2 linked regions of the Nothobranchius furzeri genome follow. The protein of the gene in region 1 purifies or fractionates together with the protein of each later gene. This does not show direct contact. Links are inferred from orthologs where the notes say so. Each region holds a gene or a part of one and is shown on either strand. Other genes may lie near its edges.

The links. Proteins that work in one complex are often made in the same cells at the same time.
Region 2: the proteins of tubb5 (region 1) and arl2 purify together in Homo sapiens (co-immunoprecipitation; 3 studies listed by BioGRID and IntAct, counting the BioPlex papers as one, with this or other methods). This does not show direct contact. The link is inferred for Nothobranchius furzeri from reciprocal best matches to the Homo sapiens genes TUBB and ARL2.

What each region holds. Positions count from the first base shown.
Region 1 is NC_091745.1:74,452,278-74,458,157, reverse strand, and holds the start of tubb5 (tubulin beta-5 chain), read right to left. Parts: upstream 3,327-5,880; 5' UTR 3,227-3,326; coding exon 3,170-3,226; intron 1,225-3,169; coding exon 1,116-1,224; intron 974-1,115; coding exon 863-973; intron 782-862; coding exon 537-781; intron 423-536; coding exon 1-422. UniProt on the Homo sapiens protein: Tubulin is the major constituent of microtubules, a cylinder consisting of laterally associated linear protofilaments composed of alpha- and beta-tubulin heterodimers.
Region 2 is NC_091754.1:61,092,351-61,098,205, reverse strand, and holds arl2 (ADP-ribosylation factor-like protein 2), read right to left. Parts: upstream 3,140-5,855; 5' UTR 3,012-3,139; coding exon 2,947-3,011; intron 2,688-2,946; coding exon 2,577-2,687; intron 2,430-2,576; coding exon 2,267-2,429; intron 1,912-2,266; coding exon 1,831-1,911; intron 1,765-1,830; coding exon 1,630-1,764; 3' UTR 1,121-1,629; downstream 1-1,120. UniProt on the Homo sapiens protein: Small GTP-binding protein which cycles between an inactive GDP-bound and an active GTP-bound form, and the rate of cycling is regulated by guanine nucleotide exchange factors (GEF) and GTPase-activating proteins (GAP).

The DNA of each region.
Region 1 (5,880 bases):
GCGGCGACGGTCAGATAGCGGCCGTGACGAGGATCGCACGCAGCCATCATGTTCTTGGCGTCAAACACCTGCTGGGTGAGCTCGGGAACGGTCAGGGCGCGGTACTGTTGGCTGCCCCGGCTGGTCAGGGGTGCAAAGCCTGGCATGAAGAAGTGCAAACGAGGGAAAGGCACCATGTTGACAGCCAATTTGCGGAGATCAGCATTGAGCTGGCCTGGGAATCGCAGGCATGTGGTGACACCGCTCATGGTGGCAGAGACCAGGTGGTTCAGGTCACCATAGGTGGGTGTGGTCAGCTTCAGTGTGCGGAAGCAAATGTCATACAGAGCCTCGTTGTCAATGCAGTAAGTTTCATCTGTGTTCTCTACAAGCTGATGTACTGATAGGGTGGCGTTGTAGGGTTCTACCACCGTGTCCGACACCTGTAAACACACACAGTGTTGATTCGGTCTTGTGATGTTAGCAGAAGACCCTACGGCTAAACAAACTCTAATTAAAAACAGAACTTTTCAGGCACTATCACAAGGACGGGTCACCTTGGGGGAAGGCACCACGCTAAAGGTATTCATGATTCGGTCTGGGTACTCCTCACGAATCTTGCTGATGAGGAGGGTTCCCATTCCAGATCCAGTCCCACCTCCAAGAGAGTGGGTGAGCTGGAAGCCCTGCAGGCAGTCACAGCTCTCGGACTCTTTACGGACCACATCCAGGACCGAGTCCACCAACTCGGCCCCCTCTGTGTAGTGACCCTTGGCCCAGTTGTTTCCAGCACCACTCTGGCCTGTGGAAGAAGTGAGACTTTGTTTTCTAAGTTCATACAGATCACAGATATTGTAAAAGGATTTCTCTGGAAGACACTCACCAAAGACGAAATTGTCAGGTCTGAAGATTTGCCCAAAAGGTCCAGACCTCACAGAGTCCATGGTCCCGGGCTCCAAATCCACAAGAATGGCCCTGGGAACATATTTACCTCCTCCACAGGAAAGTGAACGGGAGAGCAGAAGGGAAAAGAGGAAACCGTAACATTTACATCGCAGCTTAGCAATGCAATGGACAAAAATATTATGGAACAGCACATCTTATGTCATGAAAAGCCTTTCAGGACGACGGTCTACCTGTGGCCTCGTTGTAGTAGACGCTGATCCTGTCCAGCTGCAAGTCGCTGTCTCCGTGGTACGTCCCAGTGGGATCGATGCCGTGCTCGTCGCTGATCACTTCCCAGAACTGCAGACAGGAATCACATGACGGGACTCATTTCACTTCTAAGCTACAGGCCTTTTGGGACTTTAAATGAGGATAACAGCAATGGGTTTGCATATTTATATTCTGGAGGATACGCTAGGATTCAAGCAGTTTCCTGCAGAGCAGCTGCAAATATTTCCAAAGCTGCCAGCTCATGACTCTGCAGAAAGCTATGCAACGCTTTCATATGTAAAACGTGAAGGAGGAGGAGCACAAAGGAGCCACTGATCACTCCGAAGGCCAAACTGAAAATGAAAAAGGCGTCTCACACAACACCGAGGACAATGAGGGCCTTTAAATTTGTATTCAAGTCCTGCTCCGGCTTTAAAAGCCCACGGAGCTCTGGGAGGCTGGGTACGCATTAAATCCACTAAGATACTGTAGGAAATCCTCTGCATGTCTGCATTTCCTGCTTTTTTACACATTCACTTAGATTTATGGTATTCAGCTGCAAAATGAGACTTTACAGCCTCCCGTTAACGCCGGCTGCACTGCAGACAAACGGCTGTGGAGTACAAATCTTGACATTTAAATGTCACGAGACGAGGGTGAGCGATGCTAGAGACGCAGAAGTGAGAAGACAGAAACTGATGGACGGCCCATCAGTGATGATGAAGATCACAGTGAAAGAATGAGGACAACGAGCAGGAAAAGCAAGGCCACACCCTGACCCATTTGACCACCGTGCAGCCGCTCAGCATCTCTGGCCGTCATAAATCCTGCACATCGGAGTCGATGAGCCCCCAGGGGACGGAAACAAACGAGTTGGCTCTCTGATAGACCACTCCTAGTAGTTTTAGCCGATCATACAGGCCAAAGCGGTGACCCGAACAAGGGAAAATGATTAACAGTACAAGCTTGATAAAAATATGTCTAATAAAATATAAAGGCCATCTGTTGTGTGCCTTTGGGAAGACAACTATTGCCCATTAAGGCCACTGGAAATGGAGACTTTGCGTCCGCTGTGCATCAGCTGTTTCCTCCATTCCTCCCCCACCCTTCTCTTAATTTGGTTAGGGGAGGAAAGATTCTGCTTTCCAGGACATCTCAGCCAGAAAGATCACCCTTCATTAATCCGGGCTAATGTTCATGGGTTCTTAATTCCAGGGCATGGATTTGAGCGTGTGCATGCGTTTACAAATGATCAGTTGTAAAACAAAAATAAGACAATAAGACAGCAGAAATAATGGGCCACCCAGACCTATTGTTGCAGACTGCGGCTGCTAAGAGACAGACTGGGCGGGTGATGTCATTGATGAACATTTTAGACTTTACTATTAAATGATGCAATGACAAATTATATCAGATGAATAGAATATTATAGTAAATAACACATAAGGGTGTTTTTTTGCAGAAAAAAGGAGAGAATGACTTGTCTTCTCACAATTATTCATGCCACACCCTTCCATCACGTCCCAATAGAATAGCTCACCCTGCAGTCTGCCTTTGCAGCCTGCAGAACTCAAATCTAATCAATATGTGCTATTGATTCATAGACATCTGGGGGTGGGGGGTAACTAGGCCTTTAATCCAGACTTCCACTCATTGTCTGAAACACCAGTCATATCAGCCTGGGCCAGACAAAGCAAGCAGAGTGAAGGCTCCACAGGCTGTGGGGGTCTGACATGAGAAGAAAAGAGTCATTTTCCCCTCTTTCCTTTGTCTTTTTCCCTAAATCAGTGCGTTGAGATGGGCTGAATCCTAGGAGCTGGGACGCAGACACACCCGGTGTTGTGTGCACTGCAGTGCTCACAAAGACTGGACCATTACTACTTTTTTATTTCATTACATATTTATGTAAATTTCTTTATCTTCATCAGTTAATAAATCCATATAACAGTAATTGTGAATGCTTTAGACAAAGTAACGCAAAAGTAACTCCTGTTTTATTCCACAGAAACATTTTATACAGATTTTCTGAGCTTACCTTGGCACCGATCTGGTTACCACACTGGCCGGCCTGGATGTGCACGATCTCCCTCATGATGGGTGCGAAGGTTTCACGGGAAAAAAGGTGCGATGTGATTAAAGTGGACGAGCACGAGCCGACTTGTGACAAGAGACCGGGGGGACAATGGATTTATAAGGCTGGAGCGTCTCCAGAGAGGGGCGCGGCCACGCCCACAACACGCTTCTGCACGCGCCGATTGGCCGAGAGGACCGGCAGGGGGAGGAGGAACGTGTCGGCTGCAGATCAGGGAGTGGGAATTGGAAAAGGAGATTGACCAGAATTTTACCAGCTGGTGTCCAGAAATATGCATTACAGCTGTTTTAGTGTCAGCCGGGGCTGATCATCGCTGCGACTGTGTGAGAAAACAGATGGCAGCAATTCCAGTGTGCAGTTGGGGCAGAATGACAGTTAGCTCCTTTAAACTCTGTCTTTTCTTTATTTTGATAATATACTGAAAACGTTGGTTAGACCAATAAAACAGTATGACTAGATCTGATTGGCTGATTGTGTGTATAGGTGGCACAGATGGGCCCCACAGAACAAAAATGTATAAGTTTGATTTGATGGGCAACTCTTTTTCCTACGTGTGTGTGTGTGTGTGTGTGTGTGTGTGTGTGTGTGATTGGTTGCTTGTCTTGTTTGTCTCCACTTGCATGTCTGTGATGGACTTGTGACCTGTCTACAGTGTCCCATTCCCCTTGCCTGCTCAGTTGTAACAGCTCCTCATGACCCTTACAGAAAAAGGGAGATACAAAAAAAATCAATGAATGGATTTTCTGCTTCACAATCATTCACAAAAACACAACTATCAGCATTATTCATCCATCCATCCATTTTCCATTGGGGGCAGCAGCCTAAGCAGGGAGGCCCAGACTTCCCTCTCCCTAGTCACTTGGGCCAGCTCTTCCAAGGGAATCCCAAGGTGAGAGACATATTCCCACCAGCATGTCCTGGGTCTTTCTTCGGTTCTCCTCCTGTTTGGACATGCCCGGAAAAACCTCACCAGGAAAACATCCAGGAAGCATCCTAACCAGATGCATGAGCTACTTCAACTGGCTCTTTTCAATGTGAAGGAGCAGCAGGTCTACTTCAAGCCCCTCCCAGATGACCGAGCTTGAGCTTCTCACCCTATCTCTAAGGAAGAGCCCAGCCACCCTGCAGAGAAAACTCATTTTGGCCGCTTGTAACCGCAATCTCATTCTTTCGGTCTCCAAAGCTTGTGACCATAAGTGAGAATTAGATCGACCGGTAAATATAGAGCTTCAACATTATTTGACAGAATTAATTACAATTAAACATTATCATCAACATCAAATTATAGTTATAGTTTTCCATCCACCGTGACTTGTTGTTTTAGGATTGATTTGATTTTTTTTATTTCTGTTCTTCATGTATGGACTGCAATGTGCAACAATTGTTTTTATTCAGAATAGCTTTTTCCCGTTCTTTTAGTACTGATTGATAACATGTCTGTCTGTCTGTCTATCACATCATCTGTGAGTTGCAGTTCTCGCGCCCACCGCTAGATGTCAGTAAACAAATCACATAAATGGTTTGCAGTGAGGATGGGCGTGGTCAGTAAACATTCCCCTCTAAACAACAGACATTTTTTTGATTCCTACTGAGGAGCGACGTCTTAGCAACCTGGAAACTGGTTTAATTTCATTCTGAACTGGTGAGTTGCTTTATATTAACCAAATAACGGAAGCTGAAAGAAAACAAATGGTTTGGAGTAAAGTTTAATGGTGTGAAATGTAAACAGTTGTTTCATCTGCTGCCGTGCTCTTTAGTACATCGATAGCGTAGATATTTAATCACGAGTTAACCCGTTTAGCTAGCTTCCTGTGTGTACGGATTGCAACATCTCACGTAAAACCCTTGGTGTTCGCAGGTCTTCAACGCATCTCAGATTTAGTTTTAAGAAAAACCAGCGAGTGGATGTTTGTTTAGAGAGGGAGGAGCTGCTGAAAGCACAAATGACTGCGTTACCATATGTCGGTGCTAGCTTGAGCTACTTATACATATATATAAATTGGTCACAGTACTTAAATACATTTGAAGTATTCTTTTAGTTGTTATCTGTACTTTTTGCTGTACTTTAACAAAATTCCGTCTATGTGGGATTATGGTACATTGTGTTCCTCTACTTGTGTTTTAGGAGATTACAAATTAGAAATGAAATGATTAAAATCTCTGAAATGTTAATTTTGACCTCTGGCATTACCAATCTGTCTGAGTTACATCTCTAGATTGCTCCATAACAGGTCCAACTACATGAATAATCTCACTACATTTACATCAGCTACAGTGATGTGAAGCATTTCCATGATGCTTCATTATCTAACTGCTACTTTTGCATAGCGGTAATGCTTCAACCTCACTTCTCTGTTGATATTTTTACATTAATAATATTTTAGGTAGTACATATTGATTTATATACAAATGAAGTCCTTTCAGTATTATATTGTGTTATAACGCAGTACCAGATAGAGATGTACTGGTACTTTTATTTTTAATTTTTTGATGAACTTGCAGATTATGATTCTGGAAGTTACAGATTGGGCAAACTGAGAAAAGTTTTAGTTTTTGTATTGCTGTTTAGCAATGGTGCATTCACAGACCCCCCCCCCCCCCCCCCCCAAAAAAAAAAAATCAGATTTTTGAATCTAATTGATTCAGCCAGGCTG
Region 2 (5,855 bases), on another chromosome or scaffold:
TGAACATCTGGTCTTCTCTTTAGGCTCAGCAGCTGTGATGTGGTCAGATACCCAGAATGCTTTTGGTAAGTTTCATGTCTCCGTTAAACTTAACATGATCTAAATGGACGTGATGAGCAGGTGTTACCGCCCCAGTCTGATGTTTGGTGACTGATTGGTATCTTCTGATCTAGTGATTTAACATTTCCCAGATCTGAGATGTTCTTCTCATCCTAACTAGTCTCCTCCTCCTCCAGGCTCAGCGGATGCAGAAGTACTCCTGATCTCCTACAAACGTTTGCTGTTGGGTTGTGGTCTTGTTCTAGATTAAGCATTCCCTGAATGTGTTTTACCTTGTTTTCTACGTTAAGGTTTACTTTATTTGCTCCATTTGGATTGCTTTTATTTATCGTGGTTAACATTTCTGGTGCACCTAATTAAGCGCCTTGGGCTTCCTGACAGGAAGACGCTTTATAAATACAGCTTTGAGGTTTTTCACATTTTCCTGATTTTTAAATAAACTTAAAAAAAACATGGAGAATAGTCTGCTTTCCTATTTTTGTCCATTAGGTGTCAGTAGAGCTCAAACAACTCCAGCTAAAAATGCTGACTAATGTCAGCTTCTATGTACTTAAGTAGTTTGTTGCCAGGTGTGCACATCCTCAGGTGTGCATGCGCTGTCAGAATAAATAATGCGTACCGGGGGGGGGGATGCTTCAGCACACATTTGTGCACCTAAGACTGGAAGAAGAAACATTTCTGGAGCATATTAAAGATGTCCAAGAAGCAAGCTCCATTAATTATTTTGGTGTTCCTCCGCCTCCAAAAAAACTTCAGACTGAGTCGGAACCGCAAAAAAATATTTGTGGAAGTGGCTGCAGGAGGTCAGCTGGCTTCAAACTTAACAGATTCGGTGCAGATTATGCCGTGAAAATCTCACCCTGGCGGACCAGCGGCGCCTTTTACATAGGCACTAAAAACTTAAACCATCCAGCGTTTGATAAACATGCGAACAGCAGAGAACATCAGAAAGTTGTTCGGGAAGTCAATGAAGCCGGACGCAGCCAGGCCCATGATGAGGACGATGAGTAGAAATAAAGACGGTGTTTATGCCATTTAAAAAAACTTCTGTGCTCTGAAATGGTAATTAAGGGCTTTAAATTTTTATTTGATTTTATCACATAAGCAGCGATTTACATTGTGTTTTACATTCAGAAAATTCAGTCATGTTATTTGAAAATTAGGTTTTAAGTTAAGCTGGCAATATGTACATTTTCTTGTTTTCAGTCAAAATCAAAATGTTGCATCAACGCGTTTGTTTTGTTCCTATTGTGAGTTAAGAATTAAGTGCATTAAAAGTGAAGACCAAGCAGCAACCACGGGTTCTCCTGAGTACCAACACAAATATGATGGGCACCCGTTTGTAGCAACGAAGCTGAACAACTTCCTGAAAACTCAACTGGTTCTAGCTCCCAGGTCTAGCATCCCAAGGCAATTTCAGAAAGGCTAGTTTCATGACTTGTGGAATTTTAATACACTACAAATAAACCAGTCAAACCTAGATATCAAGTTTAATAAAATAAATCATGAAGCACAAATCAGCTGAAAAAAAAAAACAGGTTTTTACAGAAGTTTGGTTACCGCCGACCCTTAATCAGCAGTGAAGATCCTCGCTGCGATATCATCCGTTAACCAGTCCACTCCTGCTAACAAGTTGTCCCCCGTCACAGCGCTGCAGCCAATAATACACCAGTGGTGACTCTTGATGTCGTCCAGTGCCAGCGCCTGTAGAAGAACATCTCATGAGATTGTTGTGCTTTCTAATTATGAACACGTGAGAGTTGGGCTTACCTCTCTAATAGCTTCTTTAGACAATGCTCCTGGTAAGTCCTGCTTGTTGGCAAACACCAGCAGCGTAGCACCAGCTAACCTCTGCAGAGTCAACAACCACGCAGGATGTAAACAAAGACTCCAGCTCTAAACTGGAAAAAAGAGCATCATTTTGTGGAGGCACTTCTCGCTTTTGTCCGTATTTCACACTACTGTAGGTCTACACAATGTAGTTTCTGCAAGTATCTGAAGCACCTGTTCCTGATTTAATGGTTAGAATACCTCAATGCTTCAAGTTCTTTATGTAAAAGCAGCCACCAAGGACCAGGATCACTTATCTGCCTCTAAGGATCTTTGATTTTATGTCTTTATCACTGTTTCTCTGCAACAACGAGTCACCAATGTCACTTTTAACCAGAAAAATGGCCTGAATCTGTAGTAGTGGATGCAGTTTGACCTCCTCCAGCAGCAGAGCACTGAGCTCCTGCCTGCAGTCGCCCAGTCGGAGTCGATCAGCGCTGTCCACCACCCACACCAGCCCGTCGGTGCTCTCGAAGTAGTTCCTCCAGTAGGAGCGTAGAGACTTCTGACCACCTACGTCCCAGATGTTCAACTTAAACCTAAAAAACACAAAGTGCAACAAACCGTTTGTTTCCTGGATTGGAATAACTTGGCGTGGAATGGTCACGCGGAAGCAGCAGATGATGCATTAATTCGTTCCTTTTGTGTTGCGTGCGCGCGCGAGACCTGCGCAGCGCCGAACTTACCCCCTGTGCTCCAGAGTTTTGATGTTAAAGCCCAGTGTAGGCGAGATGGTGCTGACATCTTCTCCGTTAAACTTCTTCAGGATGGTGGTCTTCCCTGCGTTGTCCAGACCTCTGCACGCGACAGGTCAAAGAAAACACAACACACCTGACCACAACAAACCTAGCATAGCACACACAACGGGACTTAACAGGTTAAAGTAGGGCAAATAAAAGCGTTACGGAGCCAAGCGGCTGTTCCTTGTCTCGGTTATAAAGCGACACACTGGTACAAGAGACTTTTGTTGCTATTATTCAACGCAGATGAAGTTTTATTCTGAGATGCTAACCTTGTTTCTAGCTAGGCTAATCCGTTATAAAAAATAAAAGATACAACATGAGCAGCCGCATCTCGCGCTCCTTCTGCTTCATCTTCTTCAAAATCGTCAGCAAACCCATAACGATGCTTGTAGGTTCAAACAAAAATATATTAATATTAGTAATAAGTTAAAGGCTACAGCTCTGAGAGGTTAGCTTTCACAAAGATGAGCCATGATGCGACAGATTGCTTGTCCCACCCCCTCGCTACTGATGGTTTGATTTGATGGATTTTGATTGGTTGTTGGAGATTCTCAAAGCTGTATGATTGGCCAATTTGTGTTTTAGCGTGTGGTTTAACTTTTTAATACAAAATTTATCTTTATTACAAAGTCAAAAGTGCACTTAATTAGTTCTAAATTAAAATTCACAAGCCTGTAAAACTACATACATATATGTCTATGTATAAAACACGTTCATAAGACAAATTAAATATGTTTTTCGTTCATAGCCGACGCCATATTGGACAGGAGAAGTACAAATTTTCAACAACATTTCAGAATCATCACAGATAATTATCCAGCAGTAAAAACATGCATACAACGGAAATGAAATACTTAAAATATTCTACACAGCAGAAAAAAGTAGACCATATTTTTACAAGTAAAATGAGTATTTGGTCCATCAAATTCAGAATAACATGAATTTGTTTACTGTTTACTCTCATGCCACACCCCCAATTTCTCATGCTTTTACCAAAAAAAAAGTATCTGGAAATCTTATTGAAGTGATTGACAAATACACCCATGTGTAAGTCTGCTGACTTCTCGCATTACTGCAGGTCACAAACGCACAGGCTGGAAAATAGAAGCTGTTCTCTTTAAGGTGAACAGGTGGTTCATGTATTGGTGACTGGCTGCAACCGGCCCTCTCTGCACGACCTGTTCACCTGCAGAAGCATAAAGCAGGAACAAAAGATTGTGGCTGACCCATCTCACCCTGGACTTGTGCTGTTGGAGCTTCTCTGGGAGCTGGCTGTTTGTCCATTAGAGCAAAAGCCACGCCGCACAAACATTTAGATCTCCAGCTGGGCTGCTGAATGAGCCAGAGCAGCAACTTCATCCCCTAACAAGGACAACAACAAAGTGTACTGCACTATGAAAATGATTGACTTGAACCTTGACACACATTCATCTTTGTCATACCAGATGTTCATACGCTGTGTGTGTGTGTGTGTGTGTGTGTGTGTGTGTTTTCCTATAAGTGTTGACTGATTGGCTCCTGCACCAAAACTAGATCCTCCTGAGCTGCCTGGACATTAAACCTCACAGTGATTCTGATTATTGAAAGGCTGATTGAGCCTGTTTATCATCGTATAGCATCTCAGATCAGCTGATCCTCCACCAGTAAACAGAGGTGTGGACTCGAGTCACATGACTTGGACTTGAGTAAGACTCGAGTCATTATTTTAATAACTTCCGACTTGACTTGATAAAATCTATAAAGACTTACAACTTGACTTGGACTTGAATGCCAATGACTTGCGACTTGAATCGACTTGCATCTGTTGACGTGATGATGACTTGAACATATTTGATATTTTAGCACAAAAGTGACACGACATGGACAAAAATCATGAATCGTTCTTGGTTCTGGGTTTGATTTACTGCTGAATGCAGCAGCTCTTTGTTTATAATCAACTTCACTTTCTGCTTGTTTGAGCAAATAAATGAAACTTTAAGAAGCTTTAATTCTGGAATTTATTTATTATCATCATCATTAAATTCAAGTTGGACAGATGACTTGATTATGACTTGAAAAATCAAAGTTAAGGACTTGGACTTCCACATCAGTGACTTTGGACTCATCTTGGTTGCAGTGGCGGCGCCAGGGGGCGCTAGGGGGCGCTATAGCTACCCCTGGATTAGTCATGGCACCCCAAAGTAAATATTAGATTTTTTTTTCACACTTTAATTTTAATGTAACGTGTGGATGTGGTAATATTTAACATACAAAACAAAAATAATCAGTAAATTATCATATAAATAGTAAAAACTTTAACCAAAACAGGAAATTGATGTTAACCTTTGACCTCATTTTCCACCTGCAAACCATCGACATATAGGCCGTGTTCGAATTGAGCTGCACCTCGCCTGGAAAACAGACGAGAGCAGACGGAAGCAGCAGGGGGAGTGGCTGAAAGCCGGCGTTTAAGTCGGACAGATTTCCCTACATGTGTAACTCGGGGGTGACGATGGCTGAAGATATCGCGTCAGCGTTCATACTTGTTTAATTTTCAATTTTAATTCTGGTGCCTGTTAGCAGCTGAAACACGTCCTCACGTGCTTGTGGATATCATATATTGTATATGGAGACATGACTGTAATAATAAGTAAAGGTTATCAGCTGCAGCTTCAGTGTGCTCATAGGAAACGTGACAAAAGAAAACAAATCACATTTCTCTTTATGGCCTATATAGTTAACATCATCAACGTAACATGATTTACAGAATACATGTGACCAACTAACATTTCGTGTTCTACCACCGGATGTTTGGATCAAAATATGAACCAATCAGATCTTAGATCAGGTGAGAGCCAGGCGTTTCCCGTCATCCTCTAGGTTTAGCAGCCGAGGGAGAGCAACTGCAGCGCCTTGCTCCAAAATCTGTGGCCGCCTTGATCTCACAAGGTTATCGTTGCCTACGTGTGCATGACGTCAGAGCAGGTCGGCGTCAGGTCGGACACAAATCTAACCGGCATGCACTGCTCGCCGATCACCGCTGATCCAATCTGCGCAGAACTGGCTCATCTCGAACACAGCCATACATATATTTGATGGTTTTTCAGTGTCTTTTCAGGAGTCACAGAAAGTCGTTCTGGAGTCGCTCAAAGTTTCAACAAGTTTGAAAACTTTCTGAACAGCAGGAAAAGTGAGGTGTTGGTAACCAGTGGAGCTTACTTGGTAATAAGTAGACATTGCAAG